Saccharomyces cerevisiae S288C: one gene and its partner. The gene in region 1 interacts genetically with each later gene. Each region holds a gene or a part of one and is shown on either strand. Other genes may lie near its edges.

The links.
Region 2: mutations in HOS3 (region 1) and HSU1 together harm fitness more than expected from each alone (negative genetic interaction), as found in Saccharomyces cerevisiae (one large-scale study listed by BioGRID).

What each region holds. Positions count from the first base shown.
Region 1 is NC_001148.4:326,398-338,712, forward strand, and holds HOS3 (histone deacetylase), read left to right. Parts: upstream 1-3,208; coding exon 3,209-5,302; downstream 5,303-12,315. Other genes in the region: mitochondrial 37S ribosomal protein bS1m MRP51, read left to right, coding at 231-1,265; isopentenyl-diphosphate delta-isomerase IDI1, read right to left, coding at 1,467-2,333; GTPase-activating protein BEM3, read right to left, coding at 5,703-9,089; YPL113C (glyoxylate reductase), read right to left, coding at 9,556-10,746; PEX25 (Pex25p), read right to left, coding at 11,039-12,223. UniProt on the Saccharomyces cerevisiae protein: Responsible for the deacetylation of lysine residues on the N-terminal part of the core histones (H2A, H2B, H3 and H4).
Region 2 is NC_001144.5:19,955-32,057, forward strand, and holds HSU1 (cystathionine gamma-synthase), read left to right. Parts: upstream 1-3,614; coding exon 3,615-5,342; downstream 5,343-12,103. Other genes in the region: glutathione transferase GTT2, read right to left, coding at 1,184-1,885; JLP1 (sulfonate dioxygenase), read right to left, coding at 5,802-7,040; YLL056C (uncharacterized protein), read right to left, coding at 7,455-8,351; YCT1 (Yct1p), read left to right, coding at 10,155-11,750. UniProt on the Saccharomyces cerevisiae protein: Plays a role in inorganic sulfur assimilation during sulfur-limited conditions; catalyzes the conversion of O-acetyl-L-homoserine (OAH) into homocysteine in the methionine biosynthesis pathway.

The DNA of each region.
Region 1 (12,315 bases):
ACCTTCCCTTAAAATTGTTAAAGAACTCGCGGGGTAATATTTACGTTGACAGTGATATTTGTTTTGAGAAATCAAAGAATGAAGAACTTAGATGTAGAGTTAAAGGAGCAATACGAATAGGTGCCGTGATGAAGAAAAAAAATCATACAGACATTTGCTACAACCCTTGGTGAGACTGTTTCGATCATTTTTCTTTTTCTTTTTCTTTATTTTAGAAAAAATTGAACGAAATGACATTGGCAGAGTTGCTTGGACGGTCGAGAATAGCTCAAGTAGCTAACAATCATAAACCATTGACATACACTGGCAAAAAATTTCATCCAACACATCAAATCATCGAAACTAAGCCATCGACACTATACAGACAAGAATGGGGGTTGAAATCCGCTATTCCTTCGAAAATTAAATCTCGATATTTGGTGTACAACGATTTGGATACGTTGGAAAGAATTACCACATTCGAACCTAGAGGCGGTACGCAATGGAATAGGCTAAGATTTCAAGAAATGGGAGTACCAATTGTGTCTAATATAGGCAGACAAAATCCATTTTTCAAGTACATATCTCGTCCTGAGGATGAGTCTCATGCTAAATTGTCCTTATTCAAAGAAATGAAAGGAGATACAGATATTTCGCCTGCTGCTATGAAGAAGCGTTTGAAGAAGATAACAGCACTAATTAGATCGTTTCAAGATGAATTTAAAGAGTGGCTGGTGGAAAATCATCCGGATGAATTGAAATTGAATTCTAATAAGCTGGAAGACTATGTAGTGAAGTTTCTAAACAAAAAGTTGGAAACAAAAACGAATAAAAAATTTAACACTGAAATCATTGGTACAGGTGGATTATCATACAGCTTGCCAGGAAAGCTAAAAAACTCACCAAATGGTGTCATTCAAAGGACTGTAGTACCCGGTAGAATCTTGAACGTTGTTAAGGAGAACAACGACAATAAATGGCTGGCAGCTATTGGTGGGTTTGTGGCCGATGTGGTATTTTTCCAATCACCACCTAGTTCCTTTAACTCCATGGGAGATTTCATCAGAATGAAAACGTTCTTGTTCGAGATCTTGGAGGCATCTATGGAGAAAAATGGTTCTGTTTCGATGCACGCTAGATTACTCGAACCACAAAATGACAAGACCAGAGAATTTTTCAATAAGAGACCAATTTATAAACCATTGACCTCTAGAAGGGCACGTCGACCATCAGTGGGAAACATTCAAGAGGCCAATAACCTTTTGAATATAATCAAGGGAAATTGAGAAGAGAAAAAAAAAATGTGAACAATCAATGTATATTCAGAGTTCTGTAAATAAATAAAGAAAATAAAGTTTACATATTACTAAGGATTTTTGTCGCCTATTTTTACTATTTTTCAGGTGAAATGAAACGTTTTATATCACATTTTGCTATGATAACAAAGTTATTATGATTTTTATGTAGCCTATATTATTGACGCGTTGTTATAGCATTCTATGAATTTGCCTGTCATTTTCCACTTCAGAAAGGTCATCTAATTGCTCCCACCAGTTGAATAAGTAATTCTCGCAAATAATCTTAAACCAAGGCGTAAACTTGTAACTTGGGTCAGCAAACATAGTTTTCAAATCATTTGGTGAAACCCATTTGAAGTCTCTAACTTCATTGACGTTTGGGTTGACAGTCAAGTTTTCTTTAGCGTTGATCTTATAAAATAGGATGTAATCAATTTCATGTTCACCCCATGGTTCATTGCTTGGTGCCATGTAATGGATTCTGTTTAAAAAGTGAAACTTACCCCTTGTCTTAGTTTCATCTTCTGGAATACCTAATTCATGATCTAGTTTTCTCACCGCCGCAGTAATAGCGCCCTTAATCTTATCGTCTAGCTTACCCTTCAAACCTAATTCGTCATCAATACATAGTGGATGAGAGCAGCATGTGTTAGTCCAAAGATCAGGGAAAGTTATTTTTTCAGTGGCTCTTTGTTGTAAAAGTAATTCACCTTGTTCATTGAAAATAAAGACGGAGAATGCACGATGTAGTAAACCCTTTTCAATATTTTCCATTAAATGACAAACTTTCTTGGTACCGGCACCAATAGCATTATCGTCCCAATCCAAAACAATACAATTTTCATTCATTAACTTAATTTGCTCCTCATCATGACCAGAAAAACATGTTTCTCCGCTTTCGTCATTTGACGTCTCACTAGATCGGGTATTAGGTCTTTGTTGTAATGGAATAATTTCAGGAAACTCTTCCAAAATGTCTTCAGGTGTTTGGTTTTGCACTAATTTGGCGTAACTAGATACTGCACCATGGGGCATACTATTGTTGTCGGCAGTCATTGAGGTGTAATGAATTTTTGGCTTATTTTTACTCTTCCTGTATTCCAAATACGAATACTCTAATATTGAATTAAGTGGGATATACGCCTTCTTGTCACTAGAAAACTGTTTCCTGTTAAATAGATAAAAATGAATAAATAAATATAAATGGAGTTAAGACCGAAAAAGAAAGGCAACCCCCATCGACAAGAAAAGAGTTATGAATAATCATGTTTCTTAATAACAATTAAAGGGAAAAGAATCGGCTGGGCATCGTCATTGCGAAACTGTTGACTGGAAAAATTTCAATCACAATTAAGTTTTGTCCATTTCGTTCCAGCAAGAACGGAAACTTTTACCGATAGCAGCGGAAAAAAAGAAAAAAGAAAAAAAAAAGAAATTAATATAGGCAAAATAGCCGCATGAAGCCCTTAATAACCTATACTATTCTGTGACTGTTATTTATTTACCCTCGTAATATTAAAAATGTCCTATACAATTTCTGTAATAAAACCTAATTTTTTTAGGACCCTTGAGTGTTACCCTGCTCATGTTTTTATTTTTGTTTTAGAGAAATGTAAACAACAGTTTGGGAAAGTTTCAAGAATTGTAAACAACTAATCAAGGGATAATACTATTTTACTCTTTCCTTTAAACATGAAGAACTATTTTTTGTTTACGTTTTTTTCTGAATTGAACAATAAGATCTTGTTAATTTTTTTATCGCTTGATCTATTATCAGATCTTCTCTTTTGAAAAACTAGTCCTTTTCCAAATTACAAACTTTCTTTTCGTGTGGAGTTGATCAGTTCAGTTTCTCCAATACTTCTTAAGTCACTGAAAATATAACGAAAAAAAGGGCTCTGGAAGTAAACAGAGAAATTCGACGATATAATATGTCTTCCAAGCATTCAGATCCATTGGAGAGATTTTATAAGCAATTTCAAGCATTTGTTCAAAATAACCCTAATGTCATATCGGCAGCTCGAGCTGCCGCACAAATACCGGAATCTGCAAAAGCTGTTGTAGTACTATCCCCATATTCTTTACAGCATGTGTTCCCGAGAGAATGGGTAACAAAATCGTATAGGAAAACTATAGTCGAACGACCAGAAAGATTATTAGCAAGCTCGATGGGTATATCAGCTGCGATTACAATGTATCCATCCCTTTTCACCTTGAAATCCTCGCATCAAAGGAAAGGTTCATTGATGGCACCTCATGTGCTTAAAGTTCATGGCAGTAGCTGGCCGGCTGAGTTAATTGAACTTTGCCAAATGGCAGATGCTAAATTGCTAAAAGGCGAAATCGAAGTCCCAGATACTTGGAACTCAGGTGATATATACTTGAGCTCAAAGACAATTAAAGCTCTACAGGGAACAATTGGGGCCATTGAAACTGGTGTTGACTCAATTTTCAAAGGACCATCTGCAGAACATATTAGTAACAGAGCTTTTGTTGCTATACGGCCTCCTGGTCATCATTGCCACTATGGTACACCATCCGGCTTTTGTCTGTTAAACAATGCACATGTAGCCATAGAATATGCGTATGATACTTACAACGTCACGCATGTTGTCGTGCTTGATTTCGATCTACACCACGGTGATGGGACCCAAGACATTTGCTGGAAACGTGCGGGTTTCAAACCTGAGGAGGAACCTGAAGATTCATCTTATGATGATTTTGGTAAGAAATTTGCCGAATTTCCCAAAGTCGGTTATTTTTCTATGCATGATATAAATTCATTTCCAACAGAGTCGGGATTTGCCACAAAGGAGAACATTAAAAATGCATCTACCTGTATCATGAACTCTCATGACCTAAACATCTGGAATATTCACTTATCCAAATGGACAACCGAAGAAGAATTCAATGTATTATACAGGACAAAATATAGAACTTTATTTGCTAAAGCAGATGAATTTTTCAGGAGCGCAAAACTAGAAATGAATCAACAAGGGAGACCATTCAAAGGTTTGGTTGTCATAAGCGCAGGTTTCGATGCATCAGAATTTGAGCAAACTTCAATGCAAAGGCATAGTGTCAACGTTCCTACAAGTTTTTATACAACGTTCACCAAAGATGCATTGAAATTAGCACAAATGCACTGTCATGGCAAAGTTTTGTCTCTAATGGAGGGTGGATATTCTGATAAAGCTATATGTTCTGGTGTTTTCGCACATTTGATCGGTTTACAAAACCAAGATTGGGTTAAAGAATGGGGGTCTGAACAAGTCGTTAAAGAGATTGTTCGTGGTTGCAAACCGGCTTGGAAACCCTATAAGACAAAAAGAGCAAAAGATGTCATAAGAATATGGGCAGAAGAAGTTATCAGGCTGGGACGAGCAATGATACCGGAATTCGATGATATCATTTTTAAAGACGCAGTTAACAGCGCACCTTCTAATTCTCTACTAAAGGCTACTGTCGAACCAGCATCCACGTCGACAATTGCTCAAAGAATAATCAGATCTCATAGAAGCAACGCTTCCCCAGAAAAAGAACTTCATGAAAACAAGCCGAGAAGCACGGAAAAACAGGAACAAAGGGAAATTAGAAGCGATACCAAGGTCAAGCAGCTCTCGTCAAATAATAGAGCAGCTGAAACCCAAATTCCGTTTTTGCAACAAGAATTTTCCAGTGAGGATGAAGATGAAGAATACGTTTACGATGAAGAATTGAACAAAACTTTCAATCGCACGGTGGAGGATATTACCATTGATGATATTTCTAGACATTTGGAGACCTTAGAAATTGAAAAAAAAGGTGATGAAGATTCAGACCATGAGCTAAAAGAAAAAAATTGGAAAAACTCGCACCAACGCCGTCTACAAGGTAATGGAATGTATAAAATTCCCTCCAATACGAAACCGCATCGCATAAGACAGCCTCAAAACGCAAATACACCAACTTATGACGATAGTGATATATCAATGATTTCTCATGTTTCAAGAAAACATACAACAAGAAGTGGTGGAAGATGGTGATACCAATGCATATATAATGTTGTCTTGAACCCACTAAAGAAGTGACGCATATATTACTTTTTTGTATTTAGTAACACAATTTTTCTATTTTTATATTTCCTTGTATAGTTAGTAATTTTAATTTTTTTCCTTCTTTATCTCAGCTCTTCGACCATTTGGTCAAGAAGTTAGTTTTTTTCTCTTATTTTATTTGACAATATACTAATTTTATTATATGGTATTGTAAATAACATTTGAGGAATAAAAAGACAGTCACTCTATAAGCTTTATCAGCCTGACATTTTTTTATTATTACAAATATATCGTTGAAAGAAAGAAGCCTCTATACATCTCGCCCTCTTTCTATCATTAAATCAATGGAGGTTTACTGGCAACGTTATATTTCTACAATTTTAGACCATCAAACCTGAGGAATATGTATATCTACTTTCTCCCTTTCCTCTTCTTTAACTGGTTCACCACCCTGAAATATACACGCAAAGTCAGTGATGAATGGTTGAAGCATACTAATTGGAATATTTAGAGTTGGGGAAAACACGATGCATAAATTTCTTAGATTCATCTTATTAAACTTACTATTCTCATTGATCCTTACCAGCAGTTCAAAAAGAGCATACATCAACGATAGGTTAGCGTGAGGAACTAGGCCAGATTCAATAAGTTCCTTAAACCCCAATGATATTTGAACAGGATTATTATGATTTTCATCAACTACTCTTTTAAACGACAAAAATTGTTCGTCACCAAATAATAAATGGGGCAACTTTCTCAAGTACAACTTTAGTAACCCACTTACAGTATTCACACCAATGTAAAGACTTGGAGATGCCTCATCATCTTTAGCTTCAATACTTTCATTGTACCGACATAAATCTACATCGTACTCTTTATCAAACCTTTCTTGTAAAGTTTTGATAACTGTACTGGACCCGCTTAGTCTAAATATGCCTTCTTCCTGGATACCACGGTTTTTGTAAAGATACTCTAAGCAACGATAAACTACACTCGGTAAATCGTAAACGTTTTGGTACTTATGCGAACTCAATCTTAAACACGTTTCTAGTGACGAGCCAAATATTGCAGTGGACACATGTGGACCCGTAGAAGAATTTGACGAAGAGGATACTTCCATTAATTTTTTGCTTGGTGACTTAATGATAGAGTCAGGAGATGTTGGAGAATCCGAATCATTTGAAATTGTAATACCTATATGGTTCATTGCACTCGCCGGGCCGGTTAATTTTTTAAAAGGGAATAAACTTCTCATTTTGGCTCTCCTACTATCCTTCTCCTCCTCTGCATTCCCGCTTGAACTTGCTAGGAAGTTAGAGTGAGAAGATGGGTTTGAGTCAATACCATCGCTATTAGCAATGTTATTGCTACTATTACTAATATTGTTATTATTATTATATTCTTGGGTCAAATCAGTGACATATGATGGAGTATCGGTTGCTGAGATAGTTGCGTTTCCAAATTTAGAATGGTGTGTTCCTGCGCTCAAGTGAGATGCAGAATCAGTATCGTTTGCATTCCTCGAGCTAGATAACGATAAACTTTGTGAAGGATCAATGTAATCACTAAACGCAGAAAGCCATAATTCACGTTCCTTCGACGTTTCAGTACAAATATAATACTTTGTTGAGGTTGACAGTCCGCTTTTCTTATGCTCAGTGATCAAAAACCCATTTCTCGTTCCAAATCTATCTTCAGGGAGATTGGGTATAAGTTCTATAGAAGATTGTCTCAATTTAATAGTTTCAGTCAACTGATTTTTGTCAAACAATTGTAAAACATCATCGCGCAAAATACCGTACCGAACTCTCCATGTACTATTACCTGTTAGAGTCTTTGGTCTTCTCAGCAAAAGTGATCCGTCTTTCACATTATCATCCATCATTGGAGGTGTCATTACTGTATCTGTACTAATAAATTGGGCGATTTTTAAACCAACATTTTTGGGAAATTCAGGGACACTGAATATGCTTGTATAATACTGATTCAATATGTTCTTTCGCGTATCCACTTTTGTAGGTGATAAAGTCTGAAATAATTGTCTATCAGGTAACGTGGGCAATGGTAAATCGGGAACATGTGATTTCATATATACATCTAATTCGCGAACTTTATGAATAGATTTTGAAAATTTAAACATCTCCTTACCGGATTTCCTGTCTATGATTGCAATTAAAATGGATAAATCATCTTCATTATCCCTGTACAATGTGCTCAGTACTTCAATCTGGATAGTGCCAAAATCCTCCGGTTGAACGAATAATGGAATATCCGACTTAAGACTTTGGGCCACAGACTTCACGGTGCTCACGCTACTTGCATGAGGTCTTCTAAGTGTCTTCAACGAACCTTGGGGTGTTGAGCTAAATGTATTCAAGGTATTGGTTGAATGGATGGATGCCGTTTCTCCAAGTTGTTTTTGTTTTGATGAACTTTCCACGGGAGGATTTGGAGGAAGAGAAGCATTTTGACTTGTTGTTGACAATTTTGTAGAAAGATTGGGGAGTGATGAAGTTAACACAGGTTTCTTTAAATTTTTTGCACTTTGAGCACCAAAATTATCATCCTTTTTATTCAAGATAACCGGAGAAGCCAAATGGCTTGATAAAGGAGTAGAGTTTTTTATATTTCCACTAGAAGTAGGTGAGAAAAAAGTTGGAGGCGCTGGAGGTGGGGGTAAAGATTCGTTAATCGTGGATTTTATGGACAGAGGATCTTTACTGTCCGTATTGACTAGATCCTCTTCGCCAAATGAGGAGTCAAGTAATTGGGTGAAGTCGTCAAGTTTTTCTTTAGATGCTGGAGAGAAACCCAAAGCCTTGTTTTCACCCTCCTTGACTTCCAAAAGGGATGATGGACTTTTGGCTGCTGAAGTAGGAGTTCCAGTAGTGTATGCAGAGGATGTTATAGAAGAATAAACGCGGTCATTTTTTTGTATCGCGTCATTAGTTAGTTGTTGACTTTTACTTTCAGTCAGCTCATCTAAATTATTAGAGGTACTGGCCTTTAATGGAGAATGCAAATGGTTGTTGATAACAGCCGTCATTCTGTTAGGATTTTGAGGGGAACGCAAACGTTCTTGCAATGGAGATTTCGAACCTTTATTAGGTGATTTTATGGTTATCCTAGACGTCGTATAGGTAACAGAGGCAGCTGGGCTAGCCAACTGTTCTGAATGTATTTTTGTAGGGCTTGAGACAGATCTATTGATAATTTTGGGAGATGAGAAGCTACTATTTGCTTCTATTTCATCGTTTAGTATCATGTTCTGTAAATGCTTCCTACTTATTGAAGTATTTGATGTAACACCTATTTGAGGTACTGTAGGCGTTACACTTGTTTCAAGTGCAACGTCTGAACCTTGTTGCAATGGAGGGGACAATGTCGGTATTGGCAAATTAAGACTCTTGATATGCGCTTTCCTTTCAGCAGATCTTGGGGGTAACACAAATGATTGATCGTTAACGTATGAATCTCTTGAGTCATTTTGAACTTGCTCAAGCACAACTTCTAAGGAAGCTTCTCTGTTTTTTTGTAACATATCAATAACCTTTTCCAAACTCTCAATTTCAGTTTCATATTCTTGGACTTGTAGCTTTAGCTTAATGTTTTCCGTAAAAATTTCATCATAGGACGGATTTCTTTCTTTTCCTGAACATGTTCCTTTTTCTATATGTTCTATAGATTTGTCCTTTTTGGATCTATGATCATTGTACTGCGCCAACAATTCAAGGGTGGTACTACCACCATGAGTTGTGGTCAAATTATCTGTCATTGCGTGCTGTTAGTTGAGTGTGAGTTTATTCTAGAATATACACACAGATACTCCTAGCAGCCAGTGTTTCAACAAACGTGATGTTGTATATGCCTGATGTAATCACGAACTCGAACAAAAGGCAAAATGGTAGAAGGCAAGGACAAAGAAGAAAAGAGAAAAAACTTCCAGATACAAAGCTAACACACAAAGGTAAACGGTGATTAAAATGGATATATCGTTGATGTATTTAACAATCTTGAAAAATTCCGTTTAAAAAACATACCAATACGCGCAATAAAAACGGTTCTTATCTGGTACTTTACCTAGTCAGACGATTATTGTTCTTTATAAAACGGCCGCGTTTTTTTTCCAACATCACCGCCGCCATATAACTTTCGACATTCTTAGAGTTGTGGTATAAAGAGCAATGCATATACGTATGTAATCCTAATTGAAATGCTATCTTTGTAACATAATGAATGGTTCAGTTGAGCACATACTTACCATCACCTCCCTCGACAAATATGTCCTGCACATTCTCGAGTGTGATGAGTGTCTGCTTTATGACCATGTCGGCAACTGTGCTGCCGATATGTGGCAAAGCTGTAACATCCCATCTGCGAAGTAACTCTTGCTTAACGCGTGTTTCCTCATTTTTAAACACATCGAGACCACAGCTTGCCACTTTTCCAGATTCAAGAGCGTCTAGTAGCACATCTTCATCTATGCATGTGCCTCTCCCAACGTTAACTATCCTGACACCATCTTTACACCAGGCCAAACTTTTACGATTGATAATATTGTTTGTAGAGGCCGTACTGGGCAAGGCCAAAATGATCAAATCCGCATTCTTCCAAGTATTTGGATCATCTAGATCAGAATGGTACTTAGCGTTGTAATCAAGTAGACTCTTTTGGACGGGACCGGTCCTTTTGTAGTATTCAATGCTCATGTTGAACACTTTGTGCAAGTTAGACCCTATATTTTGTCCGATGGAGCCAAACCCCAATATTAGAACTTTTTTATTCATTGGAGATTCCATTTTTTTCCCGCCAACCGTGTACTTTTCTGCTAAATGTACCACTTTCCTATCCTTGTTAGGCTTGCATTTGTCTGTTCGAGAGGGAAATTTCATTTCCTGACCGTGGTAACTATCTGTAACAATTTCATACGAGTCACTAGAGATATATTTCTTACACTGTTCAACATTACCATTTTCCACGTATTTAAAACAATATTCCCAAAATGAAGTCATTCTAAAGCAGCTAATTGCTAGGAAAATAGCCAATTCTGTGACATGGTCAGCAGCATGTGGTCCAATGTTGCATAAAGTGATACCTTTCGATCTTAATAACTTACCGTCAATAAAGTCACAGCCGACCCATGGTACAAGGATTACTTTTAAAGATGCGGGGAAGAATTCAATATAACTCGAAGGGTTTCCTAACACAGTGAAAAACTCCTCAGTGAGCCAAAAGCCGTTTATTCTATGAGTTTCCAAAAATTTAACAAAATCATCCTTTGTGGACATCTCATATTTATAGAATTCTACCCTTTCTGCCAGTTTGCGATATTCAGGAAGATGACTGGCGACTTCCCATTGGGTTTTATAAGGCACCAAAATTCTTGGTTTGGCAGAATAAGTTACATCTGCTATGTCAATTGAAGTAATCATTGTTATTTAAAGGTTGCTACTTTTGTACACTCAAGTATTTTTCTGTATTTGAGAGAGAGCTATTTGTACTCCACACTCCACCTTTTAGATCTGCGTCAAAGTGTCAGAATAAACATACCGTAAAACGGAATGACTACCGCCACCCCAATGACATAAAAACGGAAGAAAAAGAGCAAAAACCGAGCGCCAAACTATCTTATTCAACGAATCAAATAACAATACAAATGCAGAGGTAAAACATTATTCGCCACATATATATGTACATATCTATATGTATACATATTTTTATATATCAATCTTTTGAAGAGCAAAGTGACCTCTTTGTTGTTATCCAAAGTTTAACCAGTCCAGTTAAGCCGGATCCCAGGGACAGAACGGCATACGTTCCCTTTGGAGTTTTTAAATTTAGAATATCTGATGTATTAGCCATGCAATCAAACGATAATCTTGCAATATCTAAATAAACAAGTGTCTTTTCATCCTTGATGGCCTTTAGTTGTTTGTGTATTAACACCTCTGCGTCGTTATTAACATTTAGGTCATTTAACAACTGTTTCCTAATTGGCGATTGTGAGCCATCGTCTTTATGGGCCTGATGCATCAGTATGGGTGAGAGTAGTAACGCGTTATTTTGAACTTTTAGTTGCACTTCCAATTCTAATTGTCTCTTCTGTAAGCTTTGCAGGTTGAGCCAATGGTCCTTCAAGCTTAAAAGAATGTCGTATTGCCATGCAAGAGACTCTTGTCTACTGACAAAGGAATAGAATGATTTATTTGTCCATATTTTCAATTTGTATAGCAAGTCTAATTCATCAAAGATACCATAATACAAGTCCAAAAATTCTCTCAATGAAGCTTCATTAAACCATATTTTCTTAATTTGGTCAATTTGAAAGTTGCACTTTCTGGTTTTATTGAATTTCCCCAAGAAACTGCACACTCGGAATGGTGTGCCGCCAAACCTTAAAATATATCTAAAAGTACTTAATTGTTGACTGATAAAATCAATTTTCTTGTCAAAATTTCTCAAAAGAGACAGGAGAAGTACTTTAATTACCGTGATTGGATGCCTTAGTGCGACTTTTACAGTCAGATTTTTCAAAATCTTGGTATAGTACGTTAATACGGAAGGGTCCAAAACAGTTAAATTTCGCTTAGACTTTTCGATAAACAGTTTTAATATATCCAGAGCGTATTTGATAATTTTGGCTAATTTGTCTCTACCAGATAGAGAATCCAATATATATTTTAAGATGGTAATATTATCCACCATCTTTGTTTTTGCTTGAGAATCCTCATCATCACTTCTCGAGGATTCAGTATGCGACTCGCTTCCACTGCCTGCACTGAACTTCTCTGCACCGGCGTCTGATGAATGTGGATGGGTATTGTCATCCTGGGCGTCCTGGTAACTTGCCCCAGAATAAGGTGGTGTTTCTGAACCGGAAACGATATCTGTCGTGCCAAACTGACTCATTGTTTTACGACCAGTTTCTATAGGTGAAGACTTACAGGGAAGTTGAGGATATCGACTCTATTTGTTACTTTCTCCAGCATACAAATTACCGA
Region 2 (12,103 bases), on another chromosome or scaffold:
TCAGTGATTTCATCTAAGTTTACTAACGCTTACACAATTGTGGAAGAAGAGGATAGAAACACCTCAGATCCCCTTGTTACGGTAAAACCCCTATTCTATGCCTCAGTAATAACTAGAAATAGCCGATTATCATTATGTTAAGCCTGTCGATACGCATTACAGTTCAAAAAAAAGGCGGACATCGTGGTTGATATTTGTTTGAGGCCTTAAATTTTATTGTATTACATGTATAAATAGCTAACAACATTTGTTCAGTTGGTACCAATCACCTTTGTTGCTGGGTATCCGCACACATTAACAAGACAATGGAAAAGGGAGAAAACTAACAATCTTAAACGATAAAACCGGACGAAATAACAGCTGTTATTTTTCATGCTAGAACTAATGGCTTGATAGTATACTTGTACCTTGTATCTTAGTGCTTGAACGGATGATTCCCGTCGCCCCACACCTATGCATACAAGACGTCAATCTTCCTGTGATTATATTTTGAGTATGGCGTAGTAATCCCATATTTCTCGTTGGGTGGTGCTGATATTTGAAAATTCATGACCTGTTCTACATACGGCTGCCATTGGTAGGACCGCAATCACAGTGTAATTTTGAAGAACTTACATTGGGCCAATGGATGAGCTGTGACCATAATTTATTAGTTGTTTGTGTCACAAGCTCAGACTTAGAAGTTCTCTATTGCAAACATTATTTCATGTTTCCTTAAATTTTTTTTATTGCACCAACTTTAGTGACCCCTTGTGAGCTCCAACATATTTGAAATCTTCTTAAATTTCTAGTCGGCAAGCAGCAAAGAATTTCAGTAGTAATCTCTACCGCGGCAATATCGATGCAAATGTAACTACCTGTAAGGATATTGTCTTCAGTGGTTTGGTATGGTTTTGTACCTTACTCAACATCACGAATAAAAAGGAAGGAATACGAATCATGATATTGATGTTTAATCTTTCACCGTCAAACAATTAACATATATAGTATATATATTCTTTTATAGAATACTGCTTGAGCTATTTTTTTACTTGACAGAATGGCGCCGCGAAGAACCCCTAAATTTTGTAGCCCTAATTTCGATCAGTTATATATAGCTATGGCACCCTCTTGAATAGCTTCATGATTGGATCTTTTTATATAGTTTCCACGTACCACGCAAAACTTGTCTCAAGTAGCCACTTTACGAGGATTTTGAACGGATTTCTAGCAGTTTCTTCACGCTGGGGCGCTGTTGCATTCTCTTATACCAAGCTCGAAGCGCCTCGCACTCTTCCGGCACTTGTAGTTTTACAATTGCAGCAAATATTAGACCAGCTATTACTGTGATGTCAGCCATTGAGAATGAATCACCAGCAACATATGGGCGTTCTCTGAGAACGGTATCAAAATAATGCATTCCATGTAGGGCTTTGTCGCGCTGGCGAAGTCCCCACTCTTTGTTTTGGTAAAGCTCGACTTCAGGCCCCAATCCAGGTGTAGCATGGTGAAAATAAACACTAACAGGGTCGAGCAGTTCCAACTCTGCGCGTTTGTTCATCATGTGGATTACGCCTTTTTCCAGCGGTGTTTTGCCGGTAAGAGTGGGTGTACCATCAAGTGCATCAATGTATTCAGTAATGGCTGTGCATTCAGCGATTAAAGTCCCGTCATCAAGTTCAAGCACTGGCACTGTGCCTGAATAGTTCTTGGCAAGAAATTCAGGCTTCTTGTGCTCTCCCTTCCAGAGGTTGATCCTCACAAATTGCACACTTGATAGCATGTTCTTCTCAGCCAAGGCAATGCGGACTCGGGCCGGATAAGGCCCTGCGGGTGTGTCATATATTATCATTTTTTGTTTCATCTTTTCACCTCCATTGTAAATCAGGAAACCTCTGCCATTCATGTATCCTTTGTAGGTACTTTATATAGAGCACCAAGTTTCTATCCTTTAGCAGGAAGCACATTATTAATCATTTGAGACGTAAACGAATGAATTAGTAAGCAGTGAAAGAAATTCGAGCACTAAGCGCGACCTAAGGGAACGGACACGGAACGGAGAAACTGAAGTATCAAATACTTCCATTTGATCAAACCACTTGTATCCACTCCCTGTTTTGCACACGGTAGTAGAAGGTCTTTTGAATATTTACTGTAAATACCGATTTCTATGTCCTTCTTGTCCGATTATAGGATTCGGGTCATTTCCAGCGCCTACTTTCCTTCTTGATTTCAAAATGTGTGGTTAACGTACTCCCAATTGCACTACTGTTCCTACAGTTCACGCGCACCTCTTTCTGATGAAAATGCAGCTGCATTAATCTGCGATCTATTGGCATCTCGCTCTTGTATCTGCCCTCCATTCGTGAAATTTTACTCTATTACCATCTTTGATCATTTTTTTGTCGCAAATGTGATACGGCATCCATCGAATTTTGCTCGTAATTGTTTGCCATTATCGCCCTTTTCATTCCGTATTATTCATCCACTCCGCTTCATAATGGGTTCCAAAAAAAGAACTATTGTACGAGCTTTTAGACTCACGAAAACATTACTTGAACAATAATTAGCGCCTGCAGAACTTGACATAATAAAATTCCATTTTCGATATCTAGCTGTCTGAAGATATGATATCTAAGTAATACGGGAAAGTTTCCGCTATTATTCTCTGTTGCAAGCTCACGTGAAAATGTGGATTCGCGAGTGGGGTGTAAGTGAGGATTGCCAAGCCTTTTGTTCGAAAACTTCTGCAGGAAGCGTTGTGTTGCAAGGATGATGCAGCATGAAATATGTGTTTTCTTTTTTTCGAGGTTCACTCCTACAGGTGATTCCTTCGAGAAATTCTGCAACCCATTGTGATATGATGCCTGGCCGAAAGATTTCTTCATTTCTTCGGAGCAGGTTCGGCCCGAAATCCTCATGATCGAGCCGAATGCCAAGAAGTAAAACACCAGGATGACTAACCAGTTATTATCATGTGTATACAGTACTTTGGTACCTTTATCAAGAAGTATACTAAAATATACCAACACCACACACATGCACATGGTAGCTGAGCGAACAGTTTCGAGATTTCAGCATTAATTTCATCTAATAAGACTTTCCGTCTGCTTTCAAGATCAACGTGCTGAACATTTTTACTCTGCTTTCATAATACTCCCATTTTAGGCTTTGATTCAAAAGCCCACTCAATGCAATACCTAAAATGATATCCTTCAAAGATATGTTTAATGAATATGCAGCCACAGCTTTGAATTCAGATTGACCTTGTGTTGCATTAAGTCAGACACCTCTAGATTTGTGTGGCTGCTCTCAAGAAAGGATGTTGAAGAAGATTTATTTACGGAAGAAATAACTGTATACGGCATTTTATTCTTTCTTAAACGAGCAAATTAAAGAATAGACGGATAGAGACTGGAGCTTTAGCATGTGTTCCGAGAAGTCCTTGACACGCGCCACGGTTGTTATGCCGCACACTACAATGATGTGTTTGAAAAAGTATATTAATGCCTATTGTCAAGATGCAATTCATCAATTCCAGCATTGAGTGATTCTTCTCTGGTGCGGTAAAACATAAATTTTAAATCTAGTACTCAACCACCACTGAACAACTATTAATCATCGTGGAAATTATTATGACGGAAATTGAATTTGGGCAACCCCTTCCCAGCAATCTAGACTATGCTGTTTCTTTTGGCATTCCTACATGGGATTCGGCAATAGGCTATGCGGAAAAGGTGCCAGAGGTAATAGGCAAAATGGCTACAGGATATCCGAGGTACTTTCCTCAACCCCCCGTCCAGAGGCTTTGTGCTTACTTTGTTAAGAAATTTGGGCGAGGTTCAGAAAACTGTCGTCCTTTTCCATCCGTTAACCTGGGTTTAAAGTGTTTCGAGTACGTAAAATCTGTCTCAGGACCTGAAAGTAAAGCTCACCTTGAAGTGGAAACAGTTACGATTAAAAACCGTGGGGCAAAAACGTCGAAAGAACCGGCGGAATTGGTGCTAACCATTGCTGCTGTCCTTGCATCGGAGGAAGAGTTCGAGACTGTGAAAGAGTATTGGAAATTAAGAGGTGAATGTGTATCTAGTCGATTGGCGTTGTCTGTCAACCAACTTCTTGACTGCGCTAATCATGGCTCAGAGCAGGTATTGCGTGAGCTAGAGGCTGGTGTTTTTGCAGCAAAGAAGGGGGAGGAGAAAGCAAAGAACCTGATAAAGGGAAGGATAGTTGAGAATCGCTTCAGGCCCTTTGGTTTGGAGAAGAAAACCCCGAATTGGGAGGGACTCAACCTCAACCCAAATGAAGACGTTTATCTTGTATCAAGTGGCATGTCTGCAATATCTACGGCTCGTAATTTACTCACCTTTTGGGAGGAGAAGAAGAATTCAGGAGATTCATTAAACAAGACCACCTCTGACCAAAAGAAAAAGCCATTATTATGTGACACTGTTGGCATCTTCGGCTTCCCTTTCAAAGATACGCAGGTCATTATGACTAAATTTGGAAAATGTAAATTTTTTGGATTTGGAAATTCTAGAGACGTTGTCGAATTACAAAAGTTTTTAGAAACAAGCAAACAACGCATTCTTGCCGTTTTCGTCGAGACACCTTCAAATCCTCTGCTGAATATGCCGGATTTGAAAAAATTGAGGAGTTTGGCCGACCAGTATGGCTTTTTTATTGTAATTGATGATACTATTGGGGGCCTTAACGTTGACATCTTGCCCTATGCTGATATAGTCAGCACGTCCCTGACTAAGCTTTTCAATGGTGCTAGTAATGTAATGGGCGGCTCTGTCGTTTTAAATCCGAAATCATCTCTGTATCCATATGCTCGTGAGTACTTCAGGAGCGCTAATTTCGAGGATTTGTTATGGTGTGAAGATGCGATAGTTTTAGAACGTAATTCCAGGGATTTTGAAGATAGAACTTTACGTGCTAATGCAAACACAGGAATATTGTTGAATGATTTGCTTTTACCCGAGGAGGGGAAAATATGCAAAAAGATTTATTATCCAACTGTTACTTCTAAGGAGACCTTTGAGAACTACGAAAGTGTACGTAATGAACGTGGTGGCTATGGATGCTTGTTCTCTGTAGCCTTTTTCAATGAGGGCGATGCAAAAGCATTCTATGACTCTTTAAAGGTATTCAAGGGACCTTCTAATGGTACTAACTTTACCTTAGCATGTCCATATGTCCATCTGGCGCACCACTCAGAATTAGAAGAAGTTTCCAAGTTTGGGGCCGACCCCAACATTATTAGAGTAAGCGTAGGTTTAGAAGATATCCAGTGGTTATTGAAAGTTTTTTCAAGTGCTTTAGATGTTGTGAAAAGCAGAGGCTCCAAACACTCATGAAGCAGATCATGAGTAGAATATCAAAAATCAAGAATTCTTTATAATCTTTATAGAATATTGTTTATAAAAGTTTTTTTCCATTCTAGCATATAATTTTTTTGGAGGAAGTCTTTTCTGGAACCTTCACATGGATCTTAATTAATGAAAGTAGACAGAGCTCATAAGATCACTAGTTGTTTATAAACTGAAGATGTTCCTTCTTATTGACTTCAACATTATATCGCTCTGAATTAGTTGATCTGTAACTTCAGAGTTTCTTTACCAGAATAAAAGCGTCACAGTTTTTCTTTAGTTTATATGTACACAGGTTGGGGTTTACTATAAACTATAAAAAAGAAGTGTTGTCGCCGCTATTTTAAGGTTTATACACAATTTTAACCAAAAAAAAGAATAAGTTGAGCAACGTTGGAACTGCCTCTGCAACGAATTCCGGCTATATACAACCTGCATCTTTGAAATTCAAATATCCAAAGTTAATGAAGAAGGATAATAATTTTCATCATTCAAAAACTTTAGATCTTCCACGGGCCTTTCCGCTTGTGGAGTAATCCTGAACGCATGTCTGTGAATTGGTTCTTCCCAATCAATCACTGCTGAATGTTGAACTCTGCGGTTATCCCAAATGACGACGGAATGAGGTTCCCATTTGGCTCTTAACTGTAAATCATGGCTGCTCTCCACTAGATTGTACAAGAAATTCAAAAGTGATTCAGATTCTTGTCTTTTCAATTCGACTATTTTCCTAGAAAATGCACGATTGACATACAAGCATTTCTTTTTCAAGACAGGATGAACTCTGACCAGTGGATGAATATGCGTGACAGGTGCTCTTCTTTTTATGCCGCCCTGGCGCTGTGAATTCTCTGCCTGTTCCTTTGAGCTATGGATGACATGAAGCGTGCTCAAGAAATCTTGCAAAGGCTTCGACAACCTGTCGAAAGCCTCGATCGTATCCGCAAATAACGTATCTCCACCACCATCAGGACCTTCAACAACACTAAAGAAAGTATAAGAAGGTGGCTGTAACTCGTAAGAGACGTCTGTGTGCCAGCCACCAGATGATGTCGAGTCATCAAAAACTCTTGCAAATTCTTCCGCATCAGGTCTTCGGAAAGTGATATGCAGCTCAGGATTGTTTTGAGGGTGGCCACTAGTTTGATGAATGTGCAACTTGCCAAAATGTCTTCCGTATTCAGTCACATAATCGGGTCCCTCGTCAGCAAAATTCTGATTTCTAAAGACAACTACTCCCTTTTGGGCGACAAGCAAAGCGAGTTCATCTTTTGCAGCATCAGAAAGATCAGTTAGCTGGATCCCATTGATCTCGAGACCTAATTTCGGGGTGATCTTCTTCACCTTTAGTTGACCAACGTTTTCTTTTGCAAAAAGGTTTGAAAAGTTACCGTCAGCTCTCAAAGCAGGATCATGGTATTCGTGAAATTCCAGCGGGCCATACTTTTCAGTAGGATCCCATGTAGGCAAATAATCTGGATACTTCGATTTCTCTCTATAAGATTTACGGATTTTCAATAAACCAGATGGAGAGACCTCATCTTGGCCATCATAAAAATGGGTATCAAAATTCCCGTAACCTTGCTTGGAGGTATAATTCAGGTTTTTCAACCCATTTGTAATGATTTTGACTGGTAAATCGGTAGATGGAAGAGGGATTGCTGTTTGAGCTGCTGCAGGAGACATATTTTAACTGGGTTACTGTGCTATGTTTGTACAAGTATGAAAGGGCCGATTATACAGCAATAGTACACCTTTTTATATGTTTCTGTCATCAAGAACTGTTACTGACTCCTTAACTTTTCCAGCATTCTTGTTGTATTGCCTACATACCTTCTTTATGTTAGTAGTATGATAAATAAACTCCATGTGCCCTGTGGCGCCAAATAAGAAATCGACTCAAGCCACATTGAGGCTTTTGTCATCATTCCCCTATATACTAATATAGCACCTTTCCAAGGGCCAAGAGCTCGTCCAATGAGACGCATGAGTTGGGTATTTTAAGCTGCACAGTAGACTATATAGATAAAGCTAACTAGTATGTAAAAAACGTTACATGCTATGGCGCTCTTAGAAAAAACGCATAATATAAGCTTCAAGTCAGTTTAAGCTATAGTTCGCACGGATATCTTCAAGAAGACCGATTTGTTGTGGCTGCCATCCCAGCTCTTTTCTGGTACCTTCGCTTGAAACTGGGCCATCTCTAGTGACAAAACAAGTGAGGAAGCCAAAATGACTTTCCGCGTCATCAACAGGGATAGAGGCCACGGGAACATTCAAAATTTCTCCAATCACACGCGCAATATCTTTGAATGGTATACCTTGTTCACCAACGCAATGATACACTTGTCCTGTTTTTCCTTTCTCTAAAACAAGTCTGAACAGAGGAGCCGTATCCAAACGATGTACAGCCGCCCAAGCGTTTGTGCCTTGTCCGACATAGCCAGATTTTCCGGCAGCTTTGGCAATATTCATTAATATTGGTACAAAAGCCTTGTCCCCCTTGCCATGAACCGAGAATGGGAGTCTGACAATTCTTGCTGAAACACCTTTGTCTTTGTAACTCAAGGCAACCTGTTCAGTGACAGCACGCAAAATTTTGGAATCTTCATCAATACCATCCTGTTCGTTAGCAACTTTGTTTGGTCGCAAAGAAAGTGTACCATTCGTATATAAGAAAGGCTTGTTAGAACCTTTAAGTGACTCTAGCATAGCTACAGTGGCCTGACGGTCAATTTCGCAGCACTGTTCAAAATTTTTAAAATCATGCACAAATCCTAAATGAATAACGCCATCAGATTCAGTGGCACCTTTTTTCAAAATTTCCAGATCCTTGAGATCACCGCGAAGGATTTTTGCAGCAGGATCAATCGACTTAATCTTTGCAGCAGCCTCGTCTGACCTTGCCAAGCCAACAACTTCATGACCCGAGGATATTAGTTCAGATAATACGGCAGAACCAATGAAGCCAGAAGCACCAGTTATAAATACTTTCATTTTTTGATCTCTTTTTTATTTTCTTTTGTAAAAGTTGAGTTATCACGCCTTAGCGCTTATGAATACAAGAGTGATTGTAAGCATAGTTGATAGAAGCGGGAGCCGTTATTTATACGTTAGTTGAGTACTTGAGGGTCTTCATCGCCTACTTTTTTTCCTTAATATCCTTGTGTTAGTAATCATATCTTCAGGAAAGCCAAGAACTAATGGCAAATTAAATCCGCGGCTTTCCCTTTAAACTTTTTCCAGCACAATCTATTATGTTGAGAAGTTCCGCTAATTTCCGCATTGGAAAAAGAATCTCATCTGCAAAAACGATGGTTTCTTTCTTCCACGGAAGACTTATGTCCGTCCTCTCTATTTTCATATTGTTCTTTCTCTCTCTTTTTGCATAACGTCACAATACCCTAGTGCTACCGTCATTGGCGCAGCATAAGAGTATTGCATTTCATGTCTTCAGATTTTGCCTCGCGAAAGAGAAAACACTAAGAGGTGAAAAACAATAAAATTATGTTCCAGTGTGTCATACGTGAGGTTTTATCACGGGGCCACCGTTCTCATTGGTTACTTGGTTGTAAATGCTTTGCGTTGTGATAAATATATGGCATGAAAAATCATATGACTTCAAAAATGAACAGATTCCAGATGCCAAGCCCGCTTTCCTTCGGCTAACTAGATGCGCGCTCGCCCTTGAAATCCTTAATCAGCACAACTCAATTGTATGGACGTGAGCTCTGACTTTTGCTTCCGACAATTAGGCCTTTCATATCTGTCCTTCTGAGATGTTATGTATCATGCATTTTGTATACACTATGCAACACCCTTCGCAATGGCGAAAGCGGAAAGTCATGGCACCATCAATCGTGCTCTGACCAGTATGTAAAAAATTTCTTAAGCCTCACCATGTTACAGATTGGCCAGAGCATCTGGATATTCACCACACCTGATTGGGAAGACTCATAGTTTTATGAAAGATTTCTTCAGAAAAAATGACATGCTGATTTTGTCTACTTGCGTGTGCTTTCAGTTCTTTACCAGTACGATTTGGTCACGTGACACGCGATCAACTACATTCAATCCATCTGCCCCTTGCTGGTTCCGAGTATCAATTCTAAATTGTGGCTACCACTATAGCAATAGTACGCCAAGCTCGGATGCAAATCACGGATATCTTCTTAGCATCCGAGTTCAACATCCGAGTTCAGCATCCGAGCTTTGCGGCGAAAACTTAACAAGATAACGGATAATCAAAGTTCTCTGTGATGTTACGGAGTCTTTGGTCTGCGCTGCTGACTAAAATAGTGTGACACAACGTACATAGCGCCACCCATATTGGCCGATAAGGACCAGACTTGTGGCGATGACTGTTAACTCTCCGCGAATCTTTTTCGAAGTCGCAGGTGGCATTGCAGAAACAAAAATGTGTGGCTTCTGAAAAAAAAAATAGGCACCCCATTTGATGTAAGACATCTGGCTACCCCTTGTACATTTCAGTCACTGAGCATCGAAGGCACGTCTTTGCAGCATGCAATAGTGTTCGAAGTTCTTCCATTTACGGTGGCTCCCCTCACTGGAACGGTGATGTAATATGTAGATAGCTAAAACATTTCGCAGGTCCCTAGGAACTGGACGTCAAGATGAATAGGTATTGTTAAAAATGCGTACCTGTTGAATTGAAGAGGTCGGAAAAATCAAAGTACTTAAACAGACGATTGATTCGACATTTAGCTATTCAGGTTGCACTTCTTGAAGGTTGAACAAAACATCAAGAGAAAATAAAAAAGAAAATATAACAAAAAAGAAATGTCAAAAGTTGACGTAAAAATTGGAGCAGACTCGATCTCCTCTTCTGATGAAATCCTAGTTCCTTCGAGACTCGCTGATGTTACGCTAGCATTCATGGAGGAGAATGACGCAGCAGTTCCAGAAATCACGCCTGAACAAGAAAAAAAATTAAAGAGAAAGCTTTTTCTCACAATATTCACCTTTGTCTCTGCCATTAACCTTTTACTTTACATGGACAAAGCCACTTTATCCTATGATTCGATTCTAGGCTTCTTTGAAGATACAGGTCTTACCCAAAATACTTACAATACTGTAAATACGCTGTTTTACGTTGGTTTTGCAATCGGCCAATTTCCTGGACAATACTTGGCTCAAAAGTTACCACTTGGGAAATTCTTGGGTGGGTTGTTGGCCACATGGACTATACTTATTTTCCTAAGTTGTACCGCATACAACTTTTCCGGTGTCGTTGCGTTGAGATTTTTCTTGGGGCTAACAGAGAGTGTTGTTATCCCGATATTAATTACCACTATGGGTATGTTCTTCGATGCTTCAGAAAGAGCTGCTGCTCAGCCATTTTTCTTTGCAGCATGTATGGGGTCTCCAATTCCAACTGGGTTTATTGCTTATGGTGTTCTTCATATAACAAATCCCAGCATTTCGTTATGGAAAATATTCACTATCATCATTGGTGGTTTGACTTTTATCATGACGGTTGTTGTAATTCTGTGGTTTCCTAATAATCCTGCTGATGTGAAATTCTTTTCAATACAAGAAAGGGTATGGATTATCAGGAGAGTTCAGGCATCCACAGGCTCTTCCATTGAACAAAAAGTCTTCAAAAAGAGTCAATTCAGAGAGGCAATGAAAGATTATATAACCTGGTTATTTGGATTGTTTTTTCTTCTTCAACAGTTAGCCAACAATCTGCCCTATCAACAGAACCTGCTATTTGAAGGAATGGGTGGAGTTGATGCTCTAGGTTCGACATTGGTATCAGTTGCCGGTGCTGGTTTCGCCGTCGTTTGTGCCTTCATCGCTACGTTGATGTTAGCAAAATGGAAAAATATTTCAGCTTTAACAGCCATCTTTTGGACTTTACCAGCATTGGTGGGATCCATCGCTGCAGCTGCTTTACCATGGGACAATAAGATTGGTATCTTAGCAAATATCTGTATGGCAGGACAAATATTTGGTATTCCTTTTATTATAGCTCTTAGCTGGGCAAGTTCAAGTGCATCTGGGTACACCAAAAAACTCACAAGAAGTTCGGTGTCCTTATTTGCGATGGGAATTGCTAATATCATATCACCACAAATATGGAGAGAGAAGGACTCTCCTCGCTTTTTACCTGCCTGGATTGTTCAAATCGTTTTATCATTCTCTCTTGCACCAGCCATTTTGTTACTGATCCATTTCATACTAAAAAGAAGGAATAATCAAAGACTAAAAAATTATGACGAAAATTTACAAAATTATTTGGACAGAATTCAACTCATTGAAAGCGAAAATCCTTCTTCCATTGAAGAAGGGAAAGTGGTAACCCACGAGAACAATTTGGCAGTCTTTGATTTGACTGATTTAGAAAACGAAACTTTTATATATCCTTTGTAAATATTGATGTTTTGTTGTGTAAATGTTCTATCTGACACTTAATAATTAGAAAATTAATTTTTTAAACTTTCCGGCTGCAAGAAAGAGGAACTGTGTCTCTTTGAAAGGCACAATTTCCCAAAGAATCATTTACAATGGTAAATAGCTTACTGCTTAGAAAATAATAGATAATTGAATAAATTTATAGAGGAATTTCTTGACAATTTCTTCAAAACAGCCGGTAAAAGTCCATTAAAGATTAGTTTTTCTTAAATAAATCACCTAAACTTTCAAATTTAGCATAAAAAACATGTAGATATTTGTTCTCTGTACTTTATAATCTAACATTTTATAAGACAGAGACTAGTAACCCC